Drosophila melanogaster: one gene and its partners. The protein of the gene in region 2 interacts with the protein of the main gene of each other region in a pairwise test. Each region holds a gene or a part of one and is shown on either strand. Other genes may lie near its edges. The genes, in order: CG10958, Droj2, CG13133 and Sec15.

What was found.
Region 1: the proteins of Droj2 (region 2) and CG10958 interact in a two-hybrid assay, tested with the Drosophila melanogaster proteins (one large-scale study listed by BioGRID).
Region 3: the proteins of Droj2 (region 2) and CG13133 interact in a two-hybrid assay, tested with the Drosophila melanogaster proteins (one large-scale study listed by BioGRID).
Region 4: the proteins of Droj2 (region 2) and Sec15 interact in a two-hybrid assay, tested with the Drosophila melanogaster proteins (one large-scale study listed by BioGRID).

Annotation. Positions count from the first base shown.
Region 1 is NC_004354.4:8,130,388-8,135,495, forward strand, and holds CG10958 (uncharacterized protein), read left to right. Parts: upstream 1-1,897; 5' UTR 1,898-2,124; coding exon 2,125-4,356; 3' UTR 4,357-4,580; downstream 4,581-5,108. Other genes in the region: CG2116 (uncharacterized protein), read left to right, coding at 1-1,328.
Region 2 is NT_033777.3:13,380,261-13,385,821, reverse strand, and holds Droj2 (DnaJ-like-2), read right to left. Parts: upstream 3,717-5,561; 5' UTR 3,678-3,716; exon of another isoform or gene 3,619-3,677; 5' UTR 3,564-3,618; intron 3,001-3,563; exon of another isoform or gene 2,710-3,000; intron 2,558-2,709; exon of another isoform or gene 2,359-2,557; 5' UTR 2,344-2,358; coding exon 1,243-2,343; intron 1,153-1,242; coding exon 1,042-1,152; 3' UTR 539-1,041; downstream 1-538. Other genes in the region: CG9799 (uncharacterized protein), read left to right, coding at 1-112; mRpS21 (mitochondrial ribosomal protein S21), read left to right, coding at 4,113-4,259, 4,319-4,435; CG8870 (uncharacterized protein), read right to left, coding at 4,479-4,926, 5,004-5,553.
Region 3 is NT_033779.5:10,090,696-10,093,946, reverse strand, and holds CG13133 (uncharacterized protein), read left to right. Parts: upstream 1-1,557; 5' UTR 1,558-1,711; coding exon 1,712-2,365; 3' UTR 2,366-2,739; downstream 2,740-3,251.
Region 4 is NT_033777.3:21,104,523-21,109,595, reverse strand, and holds Sec15 (secretory 15), read left to right. Parts: upstream 1-1,623; 5' UTR 1,624-1,702; coding exon 1,703-1,778; intron 1,779-1,842; coding exon 1,843-2,960; intron 2,961-3,024; coding exon 3,025-4,131; 3' UTR 4,132-4,550; downstream 4,551-5,073. Other genes in the region: rtet (tetracycline resistance), read right to left, coding at 8-349, 546-989; Tbc1d22 (TBC1 domain family member 22), read right to left, coding at 4,580-4,714, 4,787-5,010. UniProt on the Drosophila melanogaster protein: Component of the exocyst complex involved in the docking of exocytic vesicles with fusion sites on the plasma membrane.

The DNA of each region.
Region 1 (5,108 bases), on a different chromosome or scaffold from region 2:
CACCATCGCCACCAAGGCCGCCGTCGCCTGTTGTCCAGCCCGCTAGCAAAGCTAGAAATTCTGCCCGCCAGATCGCCTTACGTAGCTTTGTCAGCCAAAAAAACAACGACGACGATGATGGTAGCGTGAAGGAGGTGAAGCCAAGCGAAAAGATGCTGGAGGAGTTCAAGGGACCGCGTCGCTACATGCTTTTCGACGACCTGATAGCCACCATTGTGGACTTTGACGAGGATAGCACACCCCTTGTGGAGTTCTCCATGATCAGCGACATCATGGACGAGAAGCTGCCGGTGGAGTGCGGCATTTGCCCAGATGTGATGCACAAATCAAAGCTGTCCAAGCACCACAAGACCCATCTGGTGCCTGGCACCAATCGCTATGCTTGCATTTACTGCACGGAAACGTATCGCGACTGCAAGTACCTGGCCGGACATGCGCGGCGCCACATGGGCATCCGTCCATACGTCTGCGAACTGTGCACCCTATACTTTTCGACCAAGCAGGATCTGCGCGTGCACAATCAGCGCCGACATCTGGAGAAGGAGCATATTTGCGAAGTGTGCGGCAAGACGTTCGCCCAGAATACCCAGCTGAAGCGGCATCGCGAGGCGACGCACGAGAAGAAGCGGCGATTCCAGTGCGAGTACTGCCAGAAGGCCTACTACAAGAATTTCTCTCTGCAGGAGCACATCCGCAATGTTCACATGGGCAAGCGGCGGATGCTCAAATGCCCATTCTGTGGCATGCAGTGTCGCGATGCTCACAAGATGGCCCGTCATCGTAAGGAGATGCATCTGAGCCAGGGCACATACGTGTGCCATTTGTGCCAGGAGGAGTTCACCGACATCAGCTACTTCGATGCCCACAAGCGTTCGATTCAGTGCCGTAGCAATACGCGTCGCTTTGTGAATGCGGATGGGAATCGTGAAGGATCCGATTCGGAATCCATTTCCGGTCGCAATATGAATGGCCAGGACGACGATTACGACGGCATGGGCCCACTGCAGGAGGAGTACGACGAGGATGACGGCCTGTTGGTTGAGGACAATCAACCAGAGGAGCAGGGTTCGCCGTCCAATCGCCAATATTTGGACGAGAGCGAGCAACAGTATGTGCAGCTATCGGATTACGATGACCAGCACCTGCTGGTGGAGAACGCAGTGGACGCAGAGGATGGCGGTGAGGATTTAGATGAGCTGCTAACCGAGGATCAGTACTTTAACGCTGTCCAACAGCATCACCAGCAGCATCAGCAGCATCATGGCCGAGGGCAGGACTACAACGACGAGCTGATATATGAAATCACCTTGAAGACTGAGGATAACTGAGTGCCGCAACTCCGCGCAAATTTTGTACATATATAGGTCGCAATTAAATACTATCATGTAAAGAATTCATTCGCTTGACTTTGTTTTTGAATGGCAGTACCAAGTTTTTTGGTCGAATGCAACCCAGTGTGTACAAATCCGCAGGGCTGTATTTTAAAGGGCATCAAGTTCGGACTGTTGATTGCAACCAAGGGGTCAAACATCGCGCCTTTTGGTTGTACCAAGGGGTCATTGCGGTTTTGGCAATGGAATTTTCCACTCATTTTGCATTTAGCAAGGCCCCGGTGACGTCAGCACGGGCTATACAGCAGGAGGAAGTGAGAAGGAAATAACTTTAGCTACAGCACTTATTGCTCCATTTCGATAACGATTATTTCGGGTGGAGATGAACTAATTTCAAAACTAAATAGACTTTTATGTATTAAATACGTATTATTCAATGATTTATTGTTAATTATTATTGACAAAATATGGTAAAGCAGTCATGAGACACTTTTTATTAAAAAAAAAGATCATGTATATTTGCTTAAGCCTGCACTTCTCTTGTTTTGCAACACTAATGGGGCGGGCACCACTGACAACAGAAGTAAACAAACGTAAAGACAACATTTTTGTTTCTACCGGAAAAGTAGGCGAAATGGGCAATGACCACGAAACCAAGGGAACCCGGGATCCTTCGATCAAACTTCTCCAGTCACACAACAAACCACCTTGATTTGGAGCAGAGTTGCCTTCAGAAATTCCGCACAACAAAGCGATTCTCATCCAAATCTCGACCTGGCATATATTTTAAACAATGGACGACAACGAGGATGAGCTGGAGGAGCACCAGGAGCTGGTCAGCGACGGCAGTGTCGAGGAGGAGGAGGAGGTGGAGCCCGATCTGGGACCAGTGGACAGTTGGGAGTCCTTTAATGACCGCATCGATGGCCTGATCTTTAACGAGCGATGCGACAAGTCGGTGAAGAAGTTGGACGAACGCCGGCTGGCGATACTCAACCGGGTGCGTCAGCAGTTCCGCGAGGCCCCGAAAGGCGTCGCCGAACGTTGCCAGGCCCAGAAGTCGCCGATTGATCAACGGCTGGAGTTGTCCAGTGAGCGATTGAACGAACTGGTGCGCTTTGGCAAAGAACTAGTGACCAATGTCCGGGTGGCCAACGAGCGAAGGGAGCTGAATCGCCGACTCTTCGAGGGTGCGCAGAAGAATCAGATGCATGTGAAGCTGCAACGCGAAAGCGTTGAGACAATGGCCCGTTTCGAGAACATTAAGGCGCGCTGGACGGAGCTGGAGGAGACCAATGAGCCGATGCTGTTGTGGGACCAAATCGAAGAGCAAAAGAAACGCATTGCCGAGATTATGGCACGCAAGGATGAGATGATATCTGCCTGCCAAGCGGAGGTGGACCGCATGAATGCCAAGTACGAGTTCGATCGCGAGCGGCAGGCCCAGGATCTTTGTTGTCTGGTGGAGCGCGTTGATCACCAGGTGGAGACGCTTAAGGAGGCCTACAAGGAGCACATCCAAATGCTGCGGCAAACCATCGAGGAGGAGCGTCAAATCTTCGCCGATAATGCGGTGGAGAAGTGGCGCACCTTCTTCGATGCGATGAATGCCAACTTTGACGAGAAGGCCAATTTGGTAAGGGCACGCGAGCAATTCTATGCTCGCCAAACCCAGCAGATCAACGAGTCCCAGGAGGAGCTGACCAAGAGCACTCGCATTCGGCTGGAGAAGGAGTGCGAGAGGCTCGAGCTGGAGCTACGTCGCACGCGCGACAATGTGCTGATGAACTCCGAGAAGCTGGACTACAACTATCAGGTTCTCCAGAAGCGCAACGAGGAGAACGTGATCATTAACAACCAGCAGAAGCGACGGGTGGCCCGACTGCATGAGGCGATCGGACGCACCCGGCGTGGCCTGAAGAATCTTTACAACACGGGCAAGCGGAACATAGCCCGTCTTTCCTCGGACATCTACAAGCTGCACTCCAACATCAACGATATGGAGTCGAAGGCGCATCAGGCGAGGCTGAACAATCGCGAAAAGTTCGATCGCATCTGGGAGATCAACTACAAGGAACTGAACCTGCTGGTGGATCGGGTCTACCACATCGATCGCATCATACACGAGCAGCAGTTGGCCATGCCGTGGTCCAGCCCCGTGCCACCCATTCCAAACATCAACAAGGCGAAGAAAAAGCGCAATAACATTCTGGAGAAGTTTGACATGCGAATTGGCCGGGTTCCCAAGAACAGGGTGATGCCCAACTCGGGCGTAAATTGCAAGCCGGATATCAAGGAGCTTCCGCCGGATTCACTACGCTTGATGCGTAATCTTATTCGCAAGCTGTCCGATCGCGGCGGTTTCCTCATCGAGGAGCGTCTGCTAAAGATTCTTGAACCGTATTCCGAGGAGGAAAAATGCCTGGTACGCATCGACAATATATTTGCGGCGCTGCGAATTCGTCATCTGCGGGATGTCAAGGAACTGACCAAGGTTTTCATGCCGTACACCTACTGTCCGAATTGCCAGCCGCAGGGATTGAGTCCACGCAAGTGTGCCGAGGTGTTCATGAAGGATCAAAAGCCAAATCGGCTGCAGGGCGCGGCGGGTGGCCAACCGGATGAAAAGGAGCATAGGTCGACAGGGGATACATTTCTACCCAAGAGCGAGGTGGCGGCCAAGAGATGTCACAATCACTATCTGGTCATGGAACCGGCCCTCTGCCTGCACGCCATGAATCTGTTCACCTCCAAGATGCACAAAAAGATGTACGAACACGAACCGGGTAGCATTCTCAATGCGGTAAATCTCATTCAGATTACAGATGCGGAGATCCGTAATTTCTGGCGCCAGTTCTCGGCCTGCTTCCCGGCCTCCAAGTGCAAGCTGTGGAAGACACTGGAGCACGGACTGAATCACTACGTTGAGGTGCTCAAGATGCGTGTGCAGTACGATGCGGAAGTCGTCTTTCTGCGTCGCCAAAACGAAGAGTTGCGCCATCTGCTGCAAAAGTTCACCGTCTAGGTGCGATATTATTCAATTACAGCCTCAACCGCAATGCACATACATAATCCCAAGCAATTATTGTCCGATTTCACTGCAAACATGATAAATTATAATTGTGCCTAGGTCTTGCTCTTTGACATTGACATCGAAATAGTTTAGAGACGTGGGGTCCCTGCACGGGCGCCATCTGAAAAAGCTTGTTTCATTCAAGAGTCGTGCAATAAAAGTATATTTTGAACATGAAAACCTTGTGATTTTAAATATTTAAAATAATGGAACCCCTCAAAGTTAAATATTACTACGTCTATAGCTCAGTTTGTCCCGCTCTAAACTATGAACAGCTCTCTGATATCATTATTAGTGCCTAGCATGAAAAGAGCTCTTTGATAACATTTGTGAGGGGTTTCCCCTTGAGTCCTTAAATTAATCTTAATACCATATCTTTGAGATAAATATGACTTGTATTTGCTTCATAAACTTAAAGTACCCATCCATCCCCTTTAGAAATATTCCCAATGCCGTCCATGCCGCTCTCTGGTCCACCAAACTGTCGATCTCAGATGTTTGATTTGCTTTTCATTTCATTTCGAACTTTGAGTCCGTGGGAACTAGTTGGCGTTAGATGATCTCTACGACGGGGAATACCTTCGATCGCTTACCTCCCACAGCTACCATTTCACTACTGGAAGCCAAACGATTAGAACTTGTTGCACTTGTGTCTTATGTGTCTTATCAGGGCAAACCGATAAAGTTGAGCGGTAGACAAGAAA
Region 2 (5,561 bases):
AAAGGAGCTGCGCACTGTGTCCCAGGTGCAGCAGGAGGCTTGGCAGCGTGTGGAGGAGAAGCTCATCTATGGAACTGGAGTTGTGGCCGCTCTCCGAAACTTTGCGCACTAGTTTCCACCAGATTATGTTGTAGTTCATTTTGAAATTTTGTAAATAAATTTACAAAACATTTTACATTTTGAATTTGCTTTTGATGTTATTCCTTGCGACAGGCAGGTCCGCAGATTCATTTATAGGATGCTTTATAATCCTCAACAACTACAAAATCCCTCATTATATCCTTAACGATTTAATGGCATTACCATATATATCCCAAACTATCCTTATCTTTCTTTTTATCTTTTACTTATCCCAGATAGCATTTTAAATAATGTACTCAAGACGAAACTACTGCCATATGCCTGATATCTCCAATTGGCATTATTCGAATGATTCACACCTGCGGGTGACTATGCAGCGATTATGGAATCAATAGATAGCCGGAGGAAGGCAAGTGATACTGGAACTATGGGAAGAAGAATATACAGCATTTGGGTTGAAATTGTGTATTAATTATTTATTTGTTATATCCGTTTAAACTAACGCTTTTATTTATGCTGGAATTAAATAACTTAAACTTGTTCCTAGACGTGTTCGCTGGCGCGGACTTTAGATACGGTTCTAGTGGCGGCTAATTTCAATTTCAGTTTAGTTTAGTTTCAGTTTCCGTTTTCGATTCTTTGACAATCCAACGCAACATAAACATAAAGAAAAATGTTGGTTTACAAACAACCACGCGTTATAGACATAGTGCATATATCTGATAAGTTTCTTTGATTTATACCTAAATATCGTAGCTTGCATGAAATAACTTTAGATCTCTCGATTGGTTGGGCCTCCTAGTGTGAATTGGATGGTGTTTTAAGGTGCTTTTGGGAGTTCTTCGGCACTTGCAAGCGCAATTACAGTGTTCCGGGAGCTGGTTTACATATTATTACGGCTTGTTGGTTGGGGTATTATTAGGGCTGTGTGTCCGGGGATGCAACACGCAGCGGGGGCGCTTAACTCGATGTGCACTGCTGGACGCGTGGGCCATCCTGATAGCCGCCATCGTCCTCATCGTAGGCCATGCGCTGGTGTTGCTGGCGACGTTGCTTGGGATCAAAGTCCTCCTGCGAAAGATAAGCAAATCGATAAATAAATTAATTATAAATAATATATTATTTATATATCGTGATATAAACTACTACTGAAATACTCACCAAAACCGTCTGCTCTGCATCGATTGGAATGTCAACCTCCGGCGCCGGGGGTAGGCACTGTTTAAGCGTGGGCACCACCGACGGATTGATCACCTCCGGGAAGATCACCTCGAACTGGATGATCAACGTGCCCTTCTCCATGGGGTTCTTGAAAATGGGCATACCCTCCTCGGCAATACACTTGGTCATCTCATGCCTGATAACCTCGCCGGGCTGTGTGGACACAATCAGATCGCGATCATCGAGCGTTTTAACGATTCGCTGGAATCCGCAGAGCGCTTCGACAAGTTGCAACGGCATCTTCATCATTAAATCCTGTCCGGCGTGCGCGAATGTGGAGTGCTCCTTCTCGTCCAAAAGAATAATAATATCGCCCGGCTGAGATTCCGGCTCATGATCGCCCTCTCCCGTGAACACGATCTTCTGGCCATCCCGCATTCCCTTCTCAATGTGCACTTCCAATACCTTGCGTTCCCGCACCGTTTTGCGGCCACTGCAGTTCTTGCAGCGGTCCTTCTCCTGAATGGTCTCGCCAGTTCCCGAACACTTGCGGCACACCTGCTCGATGTGCTGCATGATGCCGGGGGCGATCTGCTGAACCCGTGTCTCCACACCGTTACCACGGCACTGCAAGCACTTCTCAATGCTGCCCTTCTTGCCGCCGCGACCCTCGCACTTGTCGCAGATCACATTCTTCTGGAGCTGCAGCTTGCGGGTCGCTCCATTGTACAGCTCCTCCAGCTGTACGGACATCTGGTGCACCACGTCCTTGCCACGCCTCTCGCGCCTGCGTCCACCGCCACTACCTCCGAATCCAGCGCCAAAGAACTTCTCAAAGAAGTCCATAGGATTGCGGAAGTCACCGGAATCTGCGCCGCCCTTCTTGATGGCCGCCTCGCCGCCTTCGTCGTACACCTGTCGCTTGTCCGCATCGGACAGCACTTCGTAAGCCTGCGAAATGGCCTTGAATTTCTCGCCCTCGTTGGGGTTCTTGTCCGGATGGTACTTGAGGGCCAGCTTGCGGTAAGCCTTCTTCAGCTCGTCGGGCGTGGCATTAGGCTTCACGCCAAGTATATCATAATATCCAGTCTCCTTAACCATTTTGTTTGCTGTTTACTGTGAACAGACGAAGTAGTGCGTAATTACTATCTGGGAGCTTGTAAATAACAGATTGGGGAACAGATTTGTGTATGCTCCAGGCATATATAGGTAGAAATTATGAAGTTGTGTAATACCGAAAATTTTTGAAGTTTCAACCGATTTGGATGCCAGTTCTTATAAAAAATGAAAAAAAAAAATTTATTTTGTGGTGCTGTTTCTATGGCAGCTAGGTTCCCGATGGAAGTTATTGTCAGTTTTATATCTAATGACATTTCATAGTTCAAAGGGCTGATTCCTCTCTAACTAGTATTGTAAACAAAAATCAGTAACCTATATTTTGTTACCCATTTTTTTTTGTAGAAATACATTTTTCAAAATCCAGAAACCACTCGATCATATGACCCTTTCTTGTTTATTGATTTCTACAGCTGTGACTTGATGCCATCACCCATTTTTTTCCGTGTAATTTGGGGGGCAACGGAAAATAGTAGGCATTGCCGGAAGCTAGAGCCCGGGATTCAAGGTCGTTACGCCGCCATGTGTTCGCGAAAATAACTGCGACGTTTTCTAGTCGATTTTCTAGAACAATTGTCGTATTTCAATACGGCGAGCAGCTGACGCTCTCTTTCCCCCTTTCGACAACAACCGCTTCTCTTTCGCACGCACACATACACACAGTTTCTAGAAGTTTTCGTCAGCGCATTGCAGCCCTGGTTTTGCGAACGGCGACTGCAAAGCGGAGAGGGTAATAATGAAAAAACCGTAAAAGAACGAAAAGGGGAACAAATGAAAGGAGAAAGGGCAGAGTCGAAAATAAGAATGGAAATGAATTCTAGAAGCAGCCTTCGATTTAGCAGGCAAATCAATAGATACAATTATTATATTTTCACCAGTGCCTAGCACACACATGCACCAGACTTTGCGCTTGTATGCGTACCAACATGTGCCGCGCAAGACGCTGCGTCAGAAGAATTCGATTGAACAAAGAAGAGAAAAAAAGCTAGATGGCCATCGATTTTGCAAATCTAATGCCAAAAATCGAAGGCAAATTCTCTGACAAAAAACAATTATCGATGATTACTTAACGACAGAGATGAGAAAACCAAGCGCAAAGGAAGTGTCTACCAAGTAGACACACACATTGGCAAACCGCACAATGCGAGACGAAATGTGCAAAATCAGGTGGTAATCTTAATTAGCCCAGAGCCGCCCCAGCTCACCTTTTTTCGTGTCGTGTCGTGCCTAAAGCAAATAGTAACTTTCGCAGCCCGATTCCTGGAAGTTTCACTTTTACAACAAATTTAATTTACGTCGAATACTTTTCAACAGCTTACTATGGCCGCCACGCTAGGAAGAAAACTGGAAACCAGTGTGACCAGAGCGGCAAACGGCAAGAAAAACCACAACATCAGGGTTGCCTCGCACCGCAAAGGTCCGAAAACTGGTATTTTAGTCATTTTCAGGTGATTAGCAATTTTTGATAATTTGATGGGATATAATATGTATTTCTTAAGTGTGATGGGCATTACAGAAATAATTTTGGCAATGCATTAATAAATACTGTGTTGAATAAATATTTTTCTTATTTATTAAGTTGAGTGGTTCTCAAAGTACTCCTTCTGAGTCCACGATTCTTATTAGCAATCGTTAGCCCTGGTTAGTGATATTCATCAGCTGTTTAGCAGTACAGTAAATGGTCACACTGTTTTGAAAGCCGATTATTTAATAAACATTTGGAAAACTTTATAAAATAAAACTACTTATCCGAAATGAGACACGTGCAGTTTCTGGCCCGCACCGTTCTGGTGCAAAACAATAATGTGGAGGAGGCGTGTCGTCTGTTAAATCGCGTCTTGGGAAAAGAAGAACTGCTCGACCAATTTCGCCGCACGCGATTCTACGAAAAGCCGTATCAGGTTCGACTTTAAATAACTTAACTATTTATTATTATTTACTGTATTAAACTATTGTATAGGTTCGTCGTCGCATCAACTTCGAGAAATGCAAGGCCATTTACAACGAGGACATGAACCGAAAAATTCAGTTCGTACTGCGCAAAAATCGCGCCGAACCTTTTCCTGGATGCAGTTAAACTAGTTTTTGAGGCAATAAAATGTAGGAATTAAATAAATTGCTTATTTTCTAGTACGAGATTTGCTGTCGCTGTCGATAAATGGACTTTGCAATTTCGATTTTATCCATTCAAAAAAGTATGAAGTTTTTGTGTAAAATGCTGGCTTGCAAGTTTTAAGTACGCAGGGCTTCTGTCCGTAGGAGATTATGCCGGCTGCATAAGTGAGTGTGACCTTTCCACGTATCACGGTCTCCATTAAGGGTCCCCCGGAATCGCCGGGACTGGTGTCATTCCCATCCAGACCACCAGCACATATCTGACTGCCCAAATTAAAGTCATAATTTGATTTGCACACATCTGGATGCCGTTCCGCGATGAAGCTGCGCAAGAGTACCTCACTTGCAATTCCTTGTCCCATGTCTGGCCAGCCGGATGCTTGAAACTTTCGCTTATGCGCGGCCAATTTTTGGGCTCTTGGAAGGCAAATAGGTTGGATGGCTCTCGTATAGCTATAGGAAGATATAAAGATATATTATTTCAATTCATATCCTACTTCTATTTCGACCAGAGGAGAATCATTACTCACCGCACAGGAAACTTAAGACGCACGAGTGCTATGTCGTTTATCAGCCGCCTTCCCCGGTTGAATTGTTCATGCGTAATAATTTGGTCCACTTCAATTTCCATATAAAGAGGAGCGTACTGTCTTCTTCCATTCACAATAGCCCGATCGGGATTTGTGGACGTGTTATGTTCGCCCAGTCTCACTGTTTTGAGGGCATACGGATAGTCCATAAATGGATACTCCACGCAGTGCGCTGCGGTCAGGACGTACCAGTTGTTTATTAGGGATCCACCACATTTTGGTACCAGCTTCTGGGACAAATTGTTTTTATTTCCATATAACAGCATGGCCATCCAGGGAAACTCATTCAGCGCCGGTATTTTGCCCTTCGTAGGTTTTCTTCTTGATTGTCCACAAGTATCGTGTGGCAGATACGTTTCCCACTTGGGGCAGCACACTTTATTAGTGCCGCATCTTCTAAGACCTATTATATTTTTCCTGGATGAGTTCATAACTGCTCTGGTCCTGGGACACTTATCCAGATTCACGCATTCCGTATCAAATTGACACCCTGAAGGA
Region 3 (3,251 bases), on a different chromosome or scaffold from region 2:
GTTTCTCTGACGTCTTTGGCATCGATGTGTTATGTAAAAGCGGTGCACAATTTGTAGCCAGCAAACCAATTGACCTTTTGAGGAAGGAATTTAGATTCCTGCTAATATTAGCTTAACCCTAAGCACTTGCGTAATCTATATTTGTCCCAGCGCCATGAAGTGGAAGGGCTTGACTGCCTGTCAATGCAATTTCAAACCCATCTACCCCTTGGCCCCCATCCCCTTTTGACTTTTCTGCTTTTCCCTTGGCCAAGAAAACATCGACTTTTGGCTTGGAAGCTAACGAAACTGTTGCAGTCACTTTTGGCCGTGCTCTGAAAATTTGTCAAACTTGCTTAAAAGCCAAAGCAAAAATTCAATTTCAGCAGCCATGCAGCGCGAGCAGCCAAATTGCCTGACCCCAGCAGCACCAGACATAAGTAAAATATATATCGTATATATTTTACAAATTGGCTCAACCCGGGGCAGCAGTGGTACAAAAATGGCAGCAACAAAGAGGCAACAACTGTCTTGACAACGCAACGACGATGTCGTCGTCGTCGTCTAAGGACAATGGAATACAGCTATCGAATACAGGGTGCAAATCGAGAGGAAGTGGTTGTAATTTGGTCCCACGAGCCTTAAGGATTTGGCGGGAAATTTAATCCGACGCAGCTTTCATTATCTACAGCCAATCAGAAAATTTGGTTGCTTACTTTTGCCATATTTTCCGTAAAAGATAGCACCCTGTTAACAGCTGTTTGGATAGCACTGCAGTCACACTGAAAAAAAAAACGCACTAAAAAAAGTGTATTTCAAATTTTAAAATAAGTATACAATTTTAACAAGGACTTTTGCCACTCTTCATGGAGTAGCTTTCGATTTTCATAGATATCCATGCAGTTTCTCTTAGTGCATAAGTATCCAATGTTGCTGTGGGGTCACGATTTTCATTAGTTTCATTTGCCACAATGCGTCTGCCATACTCGTCTGCCGAGTTCAGTTGCTCGGATTTGCTTTGCTCTTCCCGTGGCGGGGTGACAATGGTACAATTAGTGACACCATTCGCCATTCCTCCAGCACTCGGTTTGATTCAAAATTTTTGGCATTATCTCATAACTGGCTCAACTCGCGCTGTGTGCACTGTGCTCTCCTTGTCCCGTCTTCCGATTCCGGCTCCTTGGCGCCGCTTGTGCAATAAAAGGACGAAGCTCCGCGGCTGATTGGACTGCTGGTGGGACGGGTATTGATCAAACAGTTCGAGTTGTCGGACAAGGCTGAGACCCACTTTCCCGGGAACGCGTGTCCCACTGAAGGAACGCGATACAGTAAAATCCTGATATATGTAACTGATTGAGAGTTATCACTTAGTAAAAAGCCATTTACCTGTAGCCAACTTAATTAAAAGAATATCTTTTGGTTTACGTGCATGTTTCTAAATGATCCTTTCCTGCATCGAATTGGAGTCGCACCTACTGAAGAGTCACTGTACTTAAAAACGCCATTGAAGGTGGAACAGAAATATGCTCAGTTAGAGTGGCTTTGGTGCCAGGTACAGTTGTGCAGCTCCAAGTTCCAGCGATTACCATAACCTCATCCACTCAGTTAGCTTGTAAGAGTCGAACCGGGCGGAGGGCAACGGTTTTTTTGGCCACATAAGCCAAAAATCAACACGCTTGCTCCGTGTGTCCAACGAACCGGAGTCCGTGCATCGGGAACCGGTGGCGCAGTCATGCCCATCCACTGGGACTGGGATTGGGAGCATGATCACGAGCATGGTCACCATCACTGGCAACCGCCGCGTCGCCACTGGTCCACCGGGGAGTCCAAGTGCCGGCAGAGGCACTACTATCTCTCCCACGACCTGGACGTATGTGCGCGGGACTTTCACTTGCGGATGGACGACAGTGCCTGGTGCCATGGATCCTGTCTGGTTGGGCGAGTGGTCATAGAGACCGGCACCGAACCGGACTCCCTGGGTCGGGGCACCTTCAAGGTGGTGCTGGACGTGCACCACTTTCAGATCTCTGAGCTCACGGTGAAGGCCAAAAACAGCGACACCGTGTGCGTGGAGGGCAAGCAGGCGGATGACCGGGCGGAGAAGGGTCAGTTGTGCATCACTCGCGAGTTTACGCGATCCTACAAGCTACCACGGCACTACGATGCCACACAGGCACGGGCCACCTTCTCTGCGGACGGAATACTGATGATTACGGTGCCAGCACCACCGAAACTGGACGACGTGGAGCGCGAGATCGAGATTGAGCCCACGGGCAATTACTTTGGCAGCGTGTCCGATCCCACGGCGCCCAAGGCTATCGAGCAGGCGGATGTGGACGGCGATGGTGGAGAGGCTAATCCTGCTGGCACGGCGATGGACAAATGAAGCCGGCGACGTCTGGCGGTTGCGCGGCGGTTCCGCTTGCTCATACCAAAGTGGAGGCGGAAGTCCAAATGCGTTTAGGCCGCCAGAGGCAGTCGATCGGTTGGAGGGCAGTTGCAGTATATCAGACGGAGAGACAGTCGAAGCACATTCCAGTCACCTGGCGCACATGCACGTTGGAGTTTTTCGTGGAAACCAAAATCACTCGGATTGTTCCTGGGTTCCAGCTTAGATAGCACGTAGTCCTTCGTTCGAAACGTGAGCAAATATGGCGAAGTCAACATTTTGTAGAATTTTCTTAAGGTAGCTTCAATATAACGTTTAAGAGTTCATATCCGCTTGTGATTTTGTTTAACGCCAATAAAGGACTTTATCAGAAAACAGGAGAGTTTTGAATATTTCCAGATTTTTCGAAGAAATAATTTAACACCTTTAATCTTATCATTTATTTAAACGGTATTCTGTTTTATTTTGTACTGTATTTTGCAATGGCTGTTCATTTTCTTCGAGCTTAATTATTAAATATAATGAAGATGAACATTTCACTGGAAAATATATTTACATTTAATGAATTCTAAATCAAATCGGATCAAGGTATTTAAAGATAACAATGTTTCATTCCACCAAGTTGTTATTTCAAGTACAATCCGAATGAAAATATCCTCCAGCTAATCGGGAAAACAAACCCAAATCAGGGATAAATCATGCCTCTGGGAAAACTTCAGCTCGAATTCAAAACCCAAGCGAATTGGATTTCTCGCTGCTTTTAACTTTCCTGTCACGCAGCTTTTGATTAGCGTCAAATTTGAATAAAATTCACTAACACCTTTTGTGTTTTTCTTGTCTGTGTTCGTATCCTCGGGCACATGGCCCATAAAAAGACAATAAA
Region 4 (5,073 bases), 7.7 Mb from region 2:
TACGCACCTTGGGCAACGTTTCCCGCAGACAGCAGGCCAGGACCACAAGATCTCCAACTGCCAGGCCAAACGCCAGCAGAGAGGGCAACACAAACCAAGTACTTCCACTTTTATCGGAGAATATGGCGAACAGGGCTCCAATCATGGGCCCCACAATAAAGCCCAGCGAGAAGGCCACACCCACAAGGGCCATACCGCGTCCACGGGTCTTAACGCTGGACACATCCGTAATGACGGACATGCACAGGGATATGTTGCCCTTGCTAATTCCGCCCACGAAGCGGGCCAAAACGAACAGGGCAAAGTTGCTGGAGCAGGCCCAGATCAGATAGGATAACGCAATACCACTCTATAGATGAAAGAAGACGTAGCTTAAGGAAGGTTTACTTATTTGTGGCTTAGCTAAGGAGTTTGAATTTGACGAATTCCACGCTTTTGGATTGAACTCGTAATAGCATGAAATGTTGACCAAGCCAAAAAGAAAACTAACAAGACTAGTTTAGTGTTTAGTGCACATTAAAGCATTGAGCACTGGGATTACCTACCGCACAAGCCAGCAGGACTGGTTTCCGTCCGTAGTAGTCCGAGAGTCCTCCGACAATCGGACTGGCCACGAACTGCAGGAAGCTGAACATGGAGCCGAGAAAGCCTCCGAATAGCACCGATATGTAGCGATCCGGGGCGCCCAGGAGCTGCTGGAACCAGCGCACCCGATCCGTGAGCACGGCATACAAGCCGGAGCTGTCGTTCTGGCGATAGTGCTCCAACAGCGAGGGCAGCAGCGGCAGAATGATGGTGAAGGCCAGTAAGTCGAAGAGCAGCGATACGAAGATTATGTATATCATGGGATCACTCTTCTCCGGCTTTCCATTCTCCGATGCTTCCTTATCCAGCGCTTTATTGTTGTTGTGATGGTGGCTTCCGGTTTGGCTGTGGCTTTGCTTCTCCATGGCAGCGGTTCCATTGTGGCGACTCCGTAGGTCGGCCATCTTTGCTGATTTCGGGTGTTTAGCTTGTGCCGTGATTGCGTGCGTGTACGGGTGTTACTGCAACATAACTGTATCAACGGAACCACAACTCCACCGACAACTCTTGGCCCTCTCGAGAAGCGGCCAGCCAAAGCGAAGCCAAAGTGAAAGCTGAACAGCAACAGCTGTTCCAAGGCGGCCTATAACGAGCAGACGGCATTCCAACCTGTTGCTTGCTGCGGATATTTGAAATAAGGGCGCCAAAATGAGTTATTCAAACATCTGTAATTAATTACTTTTCTTATCAAAATTACCAACGAATATTATGTTGGTGAACATTACTAATAGCATAGGTTTAAGTTGTAAATATTTAATTAATTTATAAATATTTTACAAATCATTGTTTCCTGCTTAAATAGTTAAGAACCGGATTTTGATATACATATATAAATTAAGTTTATGATTCGGTAGTTTTCGCCTATTTGATTTATTTATTTTATTACAATCCTAGTGATAATATCTTTTTAAAAGATAATGCAGTCAGATATTCTCTGACACAACTTTGTATTATAATTTAAAACATACCGCTTAAAATTGTTATCGCCTAGTATCGAAAGTCAAACCTCGATAACACTTAGTAAATATTCGATATACCATACCGATAAGTCGGCGAAATAATTGCTCATTAAAGTTTGGTAAAAAGTTGTTTAGAAGAGAAAAAAGAGCGTTATAAGATGTCCAAAGTGACCGTGCAAGACATTGAGGCGGTGGACGACTACTGGGGACCAACATTCCGTTCGATCCTTGAAGGTGACTGCGAATAGAAGCAATTGGCACACTTTGTTTACGCCCATTTTCCTTTTTTCCCGGACAGGCAACAACACTAAGCAGATTGGCGACCAACTGGAGCAGCGGATACGGAGCCATGACAAAGAGATCGAGCGGATCTGCAATCTGTACTACCAGGGCTTCATCGATTCAATTCAGGAGCTGCTCCAGGTGCGCACGCAGGCCCAACAGCTGCACAACGAAGTGCATTCCTTGGACACGTCCCTTCGCCAGATCAGCGCCTCGCTGATTCAGCAGGGCAATGATCTAGTGCGGGCCCGTCAGATCGAATCCAATCTGGCCAGCGCCATCGAGGCACTCAAATCCTGTCTGCCCGCATTGGAGTGCTACATGAAGTTCACACAGCAGGCAAAGAACAAGCAGTACTACCAGGCGCTGAGAACTCTGGAGACTCTGGAGACGGAGCACCTAACGCGCTTGAAGACACACAACTACCGATTCGCCACCCAGATGCAGATACAGATTCCCATAATCAAGGAAAACATCCGTCGCTCTTCCGCCTCGGACTTTCGAGAGTTCCTCGAGAACATCCGGAAGTTTTCACCCCGCATCGGCGAGCTGGCCATCACACACACAAAACAGCTCCAAAAGCGTGATATCAACGCCATCATTGCCGAGCACATGCAGCAGATGAATGGCGGCGAAGCCGGCGGAGCAGGTGCTGGCGGGGATGATGATGGTGCCAACGTTAGTGCCCAGGATCTCATTGACTTCTCCCCCATCTACCGCTGCCTACACATCTACATGGTGCTGGGTCAGCGGGAGTACTTCGAGAAGGACTATCGTCAGCAGCGCAGGGATCAGGCCAAACTGGTGCTTCAACCGCCGCCCAACATGCACGACAATTTGGAGGCCTACAAAACGTACATCTGTGCCATCGTTGGCTTCTTCGTGGTTGAGGATCACGTTAAAAACACGGCGGGCGATGTCGTGACCAGCAGTTATTTGGAGGATCTGTGGTCCAGCTCGTTAACCAAGTTTGTCAACGAAATCAGCATGAGTTCTTCGTCCTGCACCGATCCTAATATCCTTCTGCGCATTAAGAACCTCATTATGCTGTCCATCAACACCTTTAAGTGCTACGGTTACACCGTGAACATCCTCTGGGAACTATTGCACAACATGCGGGATCATTATAATGAGGTGAACGTTAAGAAATTCTATAAGCCATTCTGTTGTTTGTAAAACTCTTGGCTTTCCTTTCCAGGTTTTACTGCAACGCTGGGTACATGTGTTCCGCGAAATTCTCGACAAGGAACAGTTCCTGCCCATGGTTGTACAAAACACGGAAGAGTATGAATGCATCATCGAACGATTCCCCTTCCACTCGGAACAGCTTGAAAATGCTCCGTTTCCGAAGAAATTCCCCTTTTCGAGAATGGTGCCGGAGGTTTATCACCAGGCCAAGGAATTCATGTACGCCTGCATGAAGTTCGCCGAGGAGCTCACCCTATCGCCCAACGAGGTGGCCGCCATGGTGCGCAAGGCGGCCAATCTGCTGCTCACACGAAGTTTCAGTGGCTGTCTATCTGTGGTGTTCCGCCAGCCGAGCATCACGCTGACGCAGCTCATTCAGATCATAATCGACACGCAGTACTTGGAGAAGGCAGGGCCGTTTCTGGACGAGTTCGTGTGTCACATGACCAACACGGAGAGGAGCGTATCTCAGACACCATCGGCCATGTTCCACGTGGCCCGGCAAGATGCCGAGAAGCAGGTGGGCCTACGTATTTGCTCGAAGATCGATGAGTTCTTCGAACTAAGCGCCTATGACTGGTTACTAGTAGAGCCGCCGGGAATAGCCTCCGCCTTCATTACGGACATGATTTCCTACCTTAAGAGCACCTTTGACAGCTTTGCCTTCAAGCTGCCCCACATCGCCCAGGCGGCCTGCCGACGCACCTTCGAGCACATTGCAGAGAAGATTTACTCGATCATGTATGACGAGGATGTGAAGCAGATTTCCACGGGAGCACTCACACAAATCAACTTGGATCTGATGCAGTGCGAGTTTTTTGCGGCCTCGGAACCTGTGCCTGGTCTAAAGGAAGGAGAGCTGAGCAAGTACTTCCTACGTAACCGTCAGCTGTTGGACCTGCTCATTCTAGAGGAATGGAGCACGTATTTCCATGACTATGGCAAGCAAGAGAACCGCTACCATCTGGTGCAACCGCAGTCCATTATTGTGATACTGGAAAAGATCCGCGAGGCGGACAAAAAGCCAATTTTCTCGTTGGTGCGAAAGAATGACAAGAAGAAGCTTTTGGAGACGGTGCTCAAGCAGCTTAAGCACATTGCCGATAGACAGAATTAGAAATATCAGGCTTGTAGTTAGTCGCTTTAAGTCCTTGTTGAATTCGTGTAATCATAAACTATAGCTTTTCATCTTTATTGTTTAGGCTAATTTGAATTTTCACATGGAAAAAGTATTTAGTTCTCATTACATTTGATTCGATTTGTTTTTATAAAAGACAAATTTCAATTGAAACAGCTCGACCCGTTGAACGTGTAAAATTGTATTTTGAATTTTTGATTCTTATGTACAAAAAGCGCAGAACTTTAGCGGTTGCCTACGTACGGATTGTTGATAAATACAAAACGAAAACGACATAGAATGAAAACAAACGGAGAGGAACGTCTAAATAACAAATTGTATATAATTATTAGATGTATGTAGCGTACGTGTATTGTGTAGGTATATTCCGCAAATCGTAATAAACTAACTTCTAAGTTACGTATATGCGTTGTTTGTGTTGCTTTTGTCAACTCTTCGTCTCCAAATGCTTGGGCGCATCCGCATACGTGAACTTCAGGCGGAATGCCTCGGCCAGCAGAACGTTGATTTGTCGATCGGACCAGTTGTGTGTTGGCAGATTTTGTAGCAGCAACATGAGGCCCTATCACATAGCAAGATGGCAATGATTAGTAGACGTTGCAGGAAGGGAAGATCTTTTCGTCTGGAGACTCACCTGGAAATCGTTTTGTTGCATCAGCTGCTCCTTCCAGTGCAGAAGGAATGCCGCGCACACGTACAAGTGGAACAGGGCAAAGCCGTCAGACTCTGCGAGATATGTGTCCCACAATCGGATGGTGCAGTGCAGCGGCAGCTCGCGTGTCAGCAGATTGTTCATCCAGCGAAATGAGAATTGCAAGTAGTCGACGCCATGTGCCTGTAGATGACGATGTAAGTTCACTGAAAGCACAAATTACAATTTATTATCATCACTCGGCAATTGTAGGTTGCATGTCCAATTGG